3 linked regions of the Saccharomyces cerevisiae S288C genome follow. The protein of the gene in region 1 interacts with the protein of each later gene in a biochemical or structural test. Each region holds a gene or a part of one and is shown in the gene's direction. Other genes may lie near its edges.

Evidence for each region. Proteins that work in one complex are often made in the same cells at the same time.
Region 2: of the proteins of HRR25 (region 1) and CRZ1, one has a biochemical effect on the other in vitro, tested with the Saccharomyces cerevisiae proteins (3 studies listed by BioGRID, with this or other methods).
Region 3: of the proteins of HRR25 (region 1) and ATG36, one has a biochemical effect on the other in vitro, tested with the Saccharomyces cerevisiae proteins (3 studies listed by BioGRID).

What each region holds. Positions count from the first base shown.
Region 1 is NC_001148.4:162,283-166,260, forward strand, and holds HRR25 (serine/threonine protein kinase HRR25), read left to right. Parts: upstream 1-1,993; coding exon 1,994-3,478; downstream 3,479-3,978. Other genes in the region: TYW1 (putative tRNA 4-demethylwyosine synthase), read left to right, coding at 1-59; PGC1 (phosphatidylglycerol phospholipase), read right to left, coding at 350-1,315; cAMP-dependent protein kinase catalytic subunit TPK2, read left to right, coding at 3,974-3,978. UniProt on the Saccharomyces cerevisiae protein: Protein kinase which phosphorylates serine and threonine residues. Can use casein as a substrate. Phosphorylates elongator complex member ELP1/IKI3 on 'Ser-1198' and 'Ser-1202' which promotes the tRNA modification function of the complex.
Region 2 is NC_001146.8:577,715-582,116, forward strand, and holds CRZ1 (DNA-binding transcription factor CRZ1), read left to right. Parts: upstream 1-1,865; coding exon 1,866-3,902; downstream 3,903-4,402. Other genes in the region: KTR5 (putative mannosyltransferase), read right to left, coding at 1-1,059; SAM complex subunit SAM50, read left to right, coding at 4,206-4,402. UniProt on the Saccharomyces cerevisiae protein: Involved in the regulation of calcium ion homeostasis. Binds to the calcineurin-dependent response element. Transcriptionally regulates PMC1, PMR1, PMR2A and FKS2.
Region 3 is NC_001142.9:81,595-84,629, reverse strand, and holds ATG36 (Atg36p), read left to right. Parts: upstream 1-1,653; coding exon 1,654-2,535; downstream 2,536-3,035. Other genes in the region: MNN11 (alpha-1,6-mannosyltransferase), read right to left, coding at 1-562; chromatin DNA-binding EKC/KEOPS complex subunit GON7, read right to left, coding at 811-1,182; alpha-1,2-mannosyltransferase MNN5, read right to left, coding at 2,715-3,035. UniProt on the Saccharomyces cerevisiae protein: Required for autophagic breakdown of peroxisomes, called pexophagy, through linking peroxisomes to the autophagy apparatus. Involved in regulation of the glyoxylate cycle.

The sequences.
Region 1 (3,978 bases):
ATAAGGAAAATCAAGAAACTACAACGAGAGAGACGCCTCTCCCTCCTATTCCTGCTTAAAAGATACTGGTATATATTAAGAGTAATATCACGTATATATATATATATATATATATTTATTCGAAATAAAGAGCAGAACAATTCAAGTGTTCAATTAGTATGAATGGCTATTAACATTATCGTTTCTTTCTTTTTTTATGATTTAGTCCAAAATATCACTATTCAAATCTCGCGGAGAGAAAGGGTTCGAAAATTTTGTTTTATAATATCATGATTTTGATACGAACATAAATATATATAGAAGTAAAAGAGAAAGTGTTCAGAATAATATTCACGTCAATGAATGGATATCAAAGAAAATGAATGGTTCGAAGGAACAAAAAAATCACATAAGCAATAGACCAACCGCACAACTTAATATGGACCCATTTGGAATATAGAAGCGTGCAAAGGATGTTATAAACTTTGATAAAAGCATGGAATCTTAGCCCATCTACAGATGCCAGACTGGGCGCAACAAACTTTTTTTCAGCAGTAGGCTTCTTCGCCACGGTATGACCATCGCATAACTTTCTTGCCTTGATCGGATCATCCGTGATAGCACCATGGATAGGCAATTCGCACAGATATTTGAAATCTATAGGTTTGTTGACAGTCCATAAATAGACCTTGATATCATTCTTCATAAGCACAGGTAGTAATCTCAATCTAAATTGGCTTGTCCACGAGGAGACAAAATGGACGCTGATACCAAAAAGTTTATAGTGAGGATCATTCAGTGTCAAAGAGCGCTTCACAAATTGCGAGGCGATATCTAAAGACAGACTTATCACAATAACTTTGAAATCCTTCAGAACACCAGTTTCAATACCGAAATCGTACCAATCCAGCAACCAAAGCCCCCACGTGATCCTCTCCTGCCAAAATTTAAGATCATTCTTAACCTCTAACATGATAACAAAGGTCTTGATCATGATGATTTTCTCGTTGGTAAATTTGATGTCCAACATCAATTTAGCTCCTGGATGGCACACTGCCCATGTTAGAATTTCCTTCAATGTCATCATTGCTAAGGAACCATCCTCTTTGCAGCGCAATCGCTTAACCTCCTCCCAAGTCGACTCGCCAATCACCAAGTTCTTATCCCACATCCGACCAGTGTCTGAGTCATGGTTTACCACCACCATACCATCGCTGGTCATTTGTAAATCCGTTTCTATTACATCAGCACCTGCTGCATAAGCCTTCTCAAATGCTAGTAGCGTATTTTCAGGATATCTTGCTTTAAAAGCTCTGTGGCCCACAATTTCAACCATCCTCGTGTCCTTGTTGTTATCTTACACTTCTTATTTATCAATAACACTAGTAACATCAACAACACCAATTTTATATCTCCCTTAATTGTATACTAAAAGATCTAAACCAATTCGGTATTGTCCTCGATACGGCATGCGTATAAAGAGATATAATTAAAAGAGGTTATAGTCACGTGATGCAGATTACCCGCAACAGTACCACAAAATGGATACCATCTAATTGCTATAAAAGGCTCCTATATACGAATAACTACCACTGGATCGACGATTATTTCGTGGCAATCATATACCACTGTGAAGAGTTACTGCAACTCTCGCTTTGTTTCAACGCTTCTTCCCGTCTGTGTATTTACTACTAATAGGCAGCCCACGTTTGAATTTCTTTTTTTCTGGAGAATTTTTGGTGCAACGAGGAAAAGGAGACGAAGAAAAAAAGTTGAAACACGACCACATATATGGAACGTGGTTGAAATACAAAGAGAAGAAAGGTTCGACACTCGAGGAAAGCATTTGGTGGTGAAAACACATCTTAGTAGCATCTTTAAACCTCTGTTGGGTACTTAGAAAAATATTTCCAGACTTCAAGGATAAAAAAAGTCGAAAAGTTACGACATATTCGACCAAAAAAAAAAACCAAAAAGAAAAGATATATTTATAGAAAGGATACATTAAAAAGAGATGGACTTAAGAGTAGGAAGGAAATTTCGTATTGGCAGGAAGATTGGGAGTGGTTCCTTTGGTGACATTTACCACGGCACGAACTTAATTAGTGGTGAAGAAGTAGCCATCAAGCTGGAATCGATCAGGTCCAGACATCCTCAATTGGACTATGAGTCCCGCGTCTACAGATACTTAAGCGGTGGTGTGGGAATCCCGTTCATCAGATGGTTTGGCAGAGAGGGTGAATATAATGCTATGGTCATCGATCTTCTAGGCCCATCTTTGGAAGATTTATTCAACTACTGTCACAGAAGGTTCTCCTTTAAGACGGTTATCATGCTGGCTTTGCAAATGTTTTGCCGTATTCAGTATATACATGGAAGGTCGTTCATTCATAGAGATATCAAACCAGACAACTTTTTAATGGGGGTAGGACGCCGTGGTAGCACCGTTCATGTTATTGATTTCGGTCTATCAAAGAAATACCGAGATTTCAACACACATCGTCATATTCCTTACAGGGAGAACAAGTCCTTGACAGGTACAGCTCGTTATGCAAGTGTCAATACGCATCTTGGAATAGAGCAAAGTAGAAGAGATGACTTAGAATCACTAGGTTATGTCTTGATCTATTTTTGTAAGGGTTCTTTGCCATGGCAGGGTTTGAAAGCAACCACCAAGAAACAAAAGTATGATCGTATCATGGAAAAGAAATTAAACGTTAGCGTGGAAACTCTATGTTCAGGTTTACCATTAGAGTTTCAAGAATATATGGCTTACTGTAAGAATTTGAAATTCGATGAGAAGCCAGATTATTTGTTCTTGGCAAGGCTGTTTAAAGATCTGAGTATTAAACTAGAGTATCACAACGACCACTTGTTCGATTGGACAATGTTGCGTTACACAAAGGCGATGGTGGAGAAGCAAAGGGACCTCCTCATCGAAAAAGGTGATTTGAACGCAAATAGCAATGCAGCAAGTGCAAGTAACAGCACAGACAACAAGTCTGAAACTTTCAACAAGATTAAACTGTTAGCCATGAAGAAATTCCCCACCCATTTCCACTATTACAAGAATGAAGACAAACATAATCCTTCACCAGAAGAGATCAAACAACAAACTATCTTGAATAATAATGCAGCCTCTTCTTTACCAGAGGAATTATTGAACGCACTAGATAAAGGTATGGAAAACTTGAGACAACAGCAGCCGCAGCAGCAGGTCCAAAGTTCGCAGCCACAACCACAGCCCCAACAGCTACAGCAGCAACCAAATGGCCAAAGACCAAATTATTATCCTGAACCGTTACTACAGCAGCAACAAAGAGATTCTCAGGAGCAACAGCAGCAAGTTCCGATGGCTACAACCAGGGCTACTCAGTATCCCCCACAAATAAACAGCAATAATTTTAATACTAATCAAGCATCTGTACCTCCACAAATGAGATCTAATCCACAACAGCCGCCTCAAGATAAACCAGCTGGCCAGTCAATTTGGTTGTAAGCAACATATATTGCTCAAAACGCACAAAAATAAACATATGTATATATAGACATACACACACACATATATATATATATATTATTATTATTATTTACATATACGTACACACAATTCCATATCGAGTTAATATATACAATTCTGGCCTTCTTACCTAAAAAGATGATAGCTAAAAGAACCACTTTTTTTATGCATTTTTTTCTTCGGGAAGGAAATTAAGGGGGAGCGGAGCACCTCTTGGCCAATTTGTTTTTTTTTTATGTAATAAAGGGCTAACGATCGAAGATCAATCACGAATATTGGACGGTTTTAAAGGAGGGCCTCTGAGAAGACAGCATCAATTCGTATTTTCGATAATTAACTTGCCTTATAGTGTCTGATTAGGAAACAATCACGAGACGATAACGACGGAATACCAAGGAAGTTTGTGCAAATATACAGCCGGCACAAACAGCAGCTTCACTCAGGTTAACTCACATACTGTTGAAAATTGTCGGTATGGA
Region 2 (4,402 bases), on another chromosome or scaffold:
GTACTCTTCATTGAAAAATTTGTCTTCTACGATATGCTTCCTAGAGCGAGCCTTATGTATCAAATTCATTATTCCCTCTTTGTCATCATTTATCTGTTGGAAATCATCACCCTTTTTCAAAAGCTGCTCGATGGCTATCTTTTCGGATATCTTAGCCTTGGCCTGAAAATCATAGTTGATCCAGTCCCGTAACTCCGGATCATCGGATTCAAAAATGTCGTAATCCTTTGTAAATAGTTTCCATAATGACCCAAGCGTAACGCCTTTTTGACTGATAAAGCTTTTAGTGTGTCTAAACAAATTTGGGACTGTCCAATACAATTCGGGGATGATGATCGTAAATCCATATTTCTTATTAGTTCGGAGCATCTCCAAAAAGGGATCGTAGGTAATATCACAGAAAAACTCAACATCGGGTTCCAATCTCCAATACCATTCGTACTTCTGTACTAGCGGGTGCTTGTAAAATAATCCTGAATAAAACCGGCACATCTTATGATATGATTCTAAGTTTCCGTAAAGTATGCTTCTATCACCTTGATCCTCAATTGCGTTGTAGAACTCGAACGTATCCTTTACGTCACTGGGAAAATTCCAAGATATCTCATCGATAGTGCCAAATTCCACCAGCGCGCCCACTGTAACATCACGTACTTTTGCTTTGAAGTCCTCTTCAAACGGCTGGTCATTTAAGAACACATATGGATAGTGGAACCACTGATTGAAATGCTCTTCTATACTGTTGATAGTCTTGATAACATCTTCTAGCTCCCCGTTCCTTGTTAGCATGACAAACGAGGCATTCTGCTTGATGTACGATGGATTCAACAAATAGTCCTGAGTATTCACACAATTCGAATAAAAGGGTCTGTCCCTCTTCGTCGCAAGATCCATCTTGGAAAACGGAAGAAAATTTCCCATAGTTCCGTCTACGGATGCAGGCTCAGATACAAGTACCACATACATGGTTATGACGAAGGCAATCAGGATGCACGTCGCCGTAAGATTGCAATGGATACATCCCAGAAATGCATTTATCGTCCTTCTTATTAGCAACATCTGCTACCTTATGACGATGTGCCGTATTGAGACACATTTATTGATGACACCTCCATTGAACAAGACTATTTGTGCACGGAAGCACTCATATCTACTACTTCGCATTTTTTTGAAGACCCTTTCTCGAATGCCTGCCCAAATTTTTCAATTTTCTTGGCATCATCCACACACCGCATGCTTAAAGTGTACTATCCAAAAAATGAGAGAAAAAGCAAATACCTAAAAGCACCCCACCTCTTCCATATCCCACGTAATGGCAATTGGCATATATGCTCGGCAAGGGAAATTACTGGTCGTAATATAGTGCAACATGCAACTTGCCAGGCGCACTATAGTCACATCTTATTATGTTAGCAGTTGAGCTCCAGCTTTGACTGCACTTTAGCTTAGTTGCAACTTCGCCCCTCTGTTGGGGGCTGAAAAGTACATCCGCGCATTTAACAATTGCTAAGCTATCTTGAATAACATTATACTAATTAATATCTATAGAAGCAGAATGTCTACTACGTCGAGGACCCTACCCCTGTATTTGTGCCTTGCATGAGCGAGCTATATATCAGCGATACGTTTTTTTGTTTTCCTTTCGACCTTCTTGCCTACCCTCTCACTTTTCCCACCTGAATTTTTTTTATCATATTAGTCCGATATTGAGTTTATAAACCTTGTGAAGTGCTAGATAAAGTACAATCAAAAGAGCAGGCAATAGCCATCACAGCAGTTTAGTACGATTATACACTCTGAACGCGAGTAAAACTAGGTTGTATTTTTAGTCTCGATTGGAAGTTTCGTCAGACAGTACAAGGAAGATGTCATTCAGCAACGGAAATATGGCTTCCTACATGACTAGTAGTAATGGAGAGGAGCAAAGTATAAACAACAAAAACGATATAGACGATAACAGCGCTTACAGACGTAATAATTTCAGGAATAGTAGCAATTCAGGATCACATACGTTCCAATTATCGGACTTGGACTTAGATGTGGATATGAGGATGGATTCCGCCAATTCATCGGAGAAAATATCAAAGAACCTTTCCTCTGGCATCCCGGACTCATTTGATTCTAACGTGAACAGCTTGCTGTCTCCGTCAAGCGGTTCTTATTCTGCAGATTTGAATTACCAAAGTCTATACAAACCAGATCTTCCACAGCAACAGTTACAACAGCAACAGTTACAACAGCAACAGCAACAGCAACAGCAACAACAACAGCAACAGCAGAAGCAAACACCAACTTTAAAAGTCGAACAATCTGATACATTTCAGTGGGACGATATCTTAACACCTGCTGATAATCAACATCGGCCATCCCTCACAAACCAGTTTTTATCTCCAAGATCTAATTACGATGGTACCACTAGGAGCTCGGGCATTGACTCCAATTATAGCGATACAGAATCAAACTATCATACGCCTTATTTGTATCCACAGGACTTAGTTTCTTCACCTGCGATGTCTCACTTAACCGCGAATAACGATGATTTTGACGATCTTTTGAGCGTCGCATCTATGAACTCAAATTATTTACTGCCCGTAAATTCACATGGTTATAAACATATTTCAAACCTTGATGAGTTGGATGACTTGCTATCTTTAACATATTCAGACAATAACCTTTTATCAGCATCAAACAACAGTGATTTCAACAACAGTAATAACGGAATTATTAATACCGCTGACACTCAAAACAGTACCATTGCCATTAATAAAAGTAAAGTCGGTACTAACCAAAAGATGTTATTGACTATTCCAACTTCTTCCACACCTTCTCCTTCCACTCATGCTGCCCCGGTAACACCCATCATTTCTATACAGGAATTCAATGAGGGACACTTCCCAGTTAAAAACGAAGATGACGGAACGTTACAACTAAAAGTTCGGGATAACGAAAGTTATAGCGCTACTAACAATAACAATCTACTTCGTCCAGATGATAATGATTACAACAACGAAGCTCTCAGTGATATTGACCGCTCCTTCGAAGATATCATTAACGGTCGAAAATTGAAACTTAAAAAATCAAGAAGAAGATCTTCTCAAACTTCCAATAATAGTTTCACTAGCAGGAGATCCTCGAGATCAAGAAGCATATCTCCCGATGAAAAAGCTAAATCTATAAGTGCAAATAGGGAAAAGTTATTGGAGATGGCAGATCTTTTACCATCCAGTGAAAATGACAATAATCGGGAGCGCTATGACAATGATAGCAAAACTAGCTATAACACCATTAACAGTAGCAATTTTAATGAGGATAATAATAATAACAATTTGTTAACAAGTAAACCAAAAATTGAATCGGGCATTGTCAATATTAAAAATGAACTAGATGACACTAGCAAAGATCTTGGCATACTTCTAGACATAGATAGCTTGGGCCAATTTGAGCAGAAAGTTGGTTTCAAAAATGATGATAATCACGAAAATAACGATAATGGCACATTTTCTGTTAAGAAAAATGACAATCTAGAAAAACTAGACAGTGTAACAAATAATAGGAAAAATCCTGCGAATTTTGCTTGTGATGTATGTGGTAAGAAGTTTACAAGACCTTATAACTTAAAGTCACACTTAAGAACGCATACAAATGAAAGGCCATTTATTTGTTCTATTTGTGGTAAGGCGTTTGCACGTCAACATGATAGAAAGAGACACGAAGATTTGCATACAGGTAAGAAAAGGTATGTATGCGGTGGTAAGCTGAAGGACGGTAAACCCTGGGGTTGTGGCAAAAAGTTTGCAAGAAGTGATGCTCTTGGTAGGCATTTTAAAACTGAAAGTGGTAGAAGATGCATCACTCCCTTGTACGAAGAAGCCAGACAGGAGAAATCGGGACAAGAGAGTTAATTATTTTTGTTTTTTTAAGCTTTGAATAGGAATTTTTTTTTTCTATATAATAAATATGTAATTTCATAATGACAGTGTAGAAATTATGGCTAATCTAATCCATGCAAAGGTATTATTTGGTTATTGTTTTTGTAATGAAATAGTATAAAACAGTGATATTCTTACGGATTAATAGTTTTTACGCCCGTCTGAATTTTCTAAGCTGCCGAAAATAATGGCAAGTAACAAAAAGTTATTGTATGAGGATGCGTTTTACGTGGCAAAAGTTTTGATGCCAAATAGACAAAAGTAGCTCAATTCAACATGACCTCATCATCTGGTGTTGATAATGAGATTTCCTTAGACAGCCCGATGCCAATTTTCAATGAGAGTTCTACTTTAAAGCCAATTAGGGTTGCGGGTGTAGTAACAACAGGGACAGATCATATCGACCCTAGCGTACTACAGGCATACTTAGATGATACTATTATGAAATCCATTACTTTGGGGCAGCTAGTGAA
Region 3 (3,035 bases), on another chromosome or scaffold:
GAGCGTAATCAACCCTATTTTGAACAATTTGAATAATTGTTTCTAATTCGTAGTTTTCAAAATCTATCAGGGTTACTACGACCACTTCAGGTGCATCATTGCTCTTCCGATACACTAATTTACCATGGTCTAAGAACGAGTGCTTCACTAATAGAATTTGATCAGTAGTCTTCTTTTTTTCTTCATCTGTCAAAGCATTCTCTTCTGGTTTCAAAATTAATCTTTTACTGCCATCCACTTCTAGCCTCGTAATATACAGGCCCCTAACGGTCATTTGTTTTAACACAGGCACATGTTCTACATGTGGATAAATCAACCGGCTGGAGGCAGGAATTTCGTTAATATACAGCCCATGGGATGGAGAATATGATGCACCGGCGGAACGAGAAATTGGATAGAAGCGATTGGAGAAGAAATAGAGGATAAAAACAAAGGCCGTTATTATCGACAAAAATTTACAAGTTCCGTACTTGTTCTGCTTGAAACCAAGCCTGTTGAACCACTGCGAACCCACCGATCTTGAGGAGTACGTTTTGCCCTTCGTTCTTGGTTTGATTGCCATTTTAACGAGTCCTAACACAGCTAACACCAACAACAAACCGGCAGGATGATTCCAAGTTGAAAATTGGCTTTCTTCGCATCATTTAGGAGTCGATCAATCCTTCTTAACTGTATCCCATCGTGTGTTTATTATTTTTTTATATCAACTCTTCCTAGTTCAACAATTATCACTTGTAACGAAATATTTGTCATTTATCATTAGACTCTTTTCTGTTTGTATATACACTCTCTAGCGCTACATATCGTTGCCTAAACAGCATCTTCGTCACCGTCACCACCATCTAATAGCTGGTTAATCTCTTCCTGGATCCGCTTCTCGTCTGCGCCGGCTTTCTTCTTATTTTTTGCCAATTCCATTCTTCCTGTCAAAAACTCGTTAATATCGTCCTGTAGCCCCGTCAGCTGCGTGCGCAGCTGGCCTAAGTATGTCAGTTGTGAGCCATCTTTCGTGCGTTCCGGTTCTGAAGGTTTGTCTCTATCGATTTGGCCAGCGTTTAGCACATGGTCACTGGGCCCAGTTGTCCTTCCCTCTGTGGTCATGTATCGAGGGTCATCGCGTATTGGTGCAAAACTTTTTTCCACACCATCTGGTGCACTGTACTGTGCTACCGGTAGTTTCATTGAGATATTAGGATAAGGTTCCAGTGCACTATCGGCTGTATATATTTATTTAGCTCTAACTTGGTTCAGTAAAACTACCAATAATCAGATGGGATATTCTTAAGTTACTCATTACTAGAGATCCGGGTAAAATTTTTGACCTGACAAGGCCGTAACACTGGAAACAGGAAGATCAACAAAGAAACTAAATAAACACCTATCGTAGTTGCTAATATAGAGCTTTAAAAAATCACGCTCTGTGGTGCTAAGACACTATTCTATTGTGCCATCACTAGAGCATTCGCGTTAAGATACTTTCACCAAGATAAACATCGTTATACACGTACGATCTACGTGCGGCTGTAGCGTAATCCCGAATAATACAAATCTTTTGAAGGGATAGATTTCTATATACTTACGAATGTCGACAAGGAGCAAAGGTTGTATTCAGGGCTTAAAATACTAAAATTTGGTGGTCAGTACAGCTCATTAATGGCATCTGTGAACAATTACCAGGTTGATTGCGGGTCAAGGTCTGCTCGCATTCAACCCAGAATTAATAACGGCATTCACGATGAAGAATCGCTATTTGAAGTCCTGGAACTCTCAGAAGAGGAATTTGAGCTAGACTTCCATAGATTAAAGTCATTCAATGATGTAAGGGTTATCAATAACCCAGATTTATCTCCAGAATGTACAAATACTGCCATTAGTCGCGATGAGACACTGGAATCTGCAAGTAGTGCCTTCGAAGTTCCTTCTGACGAAATTGCTATACTGTCGATATCCAGTGACAGCAATAAAAATTCTCCGCCCTCAGAGCAGCCGGCGCCCGCTCTTCGTAACATTCGATCGTCTAGTAACTCTGACCGGATCGATGAGTGGTGTTTGGGCAGCCATTTATTTAATGAGCTGCATCAAAATGTCCCTCAATCAAGCGACGGTGTCAATCATGGATTTCCCGTTTATTCCTTTAAGGAAAGAGAACTTTATACCTCTGCGAAATTAAAGAAACTTACAAATGCCCAAAGAATTGCTGTGCAGAAACTATCAAGAGACTTGTATCCAATTCTAAGAACATGCTACCGCGAGAAAACTCGCCGGCAATTATTGACATACCATCATGAAAGAATATTTGACGATATACCATCTTTTTTCCCCCAGCGTGACTTTATTTTCAATTACTACTCGATGCCTCTTGAATTCGACAGGTTGTCAGACGTAGATATAGATTCGTCATCGCGGTCACGATTTACAGATGAGAGCACTGGAGAAACATTAAACCGTTCACCAAGCGCAGCGTCTTCGTCGTTGGAAAACACATCTTGGTTTGGCTGGACTTTACTTTCTAGGTTTTTGGACAGAGAATGGTAGAAGAAAGTTAGATACCCTCATTCTAAAACGTTGTCCGAACACCATCAGTTAGTTTTTTCTTGGTTTCATTTTTTCATTTTTTTCTAAGATGTATATATATCCGTGCACATATATGCTACATTATATTATACAAGGTCGGATGGCGAGTTATTATTAAATTATTATAGTTAATCACTTCATTAGTTTTTCTCCCCCATAGCTTCTTTGTGTGTGCTCTCCAGATAATTAACATGATTGGTCAAATACTCACACATTGCATCCCATTCTGGGGTATTAACTTTATCGGTAAAATACTTGAATTTAATAACTTGGCTTTTCGGAGTGGTACAGAAGGACCCCCTCATATCATTGAATAAAAACAATTCAAAATCCATTCCATAGCGATGCGGCTTCCTGAAGCCCCGTACTTGTTCGCCATTTGGACCGATAAATCTGTTTTCATGATAAAGAGTCCATGGATCTGCCTTGTAGAAACTGGCATGAATGAACATGATATCCAA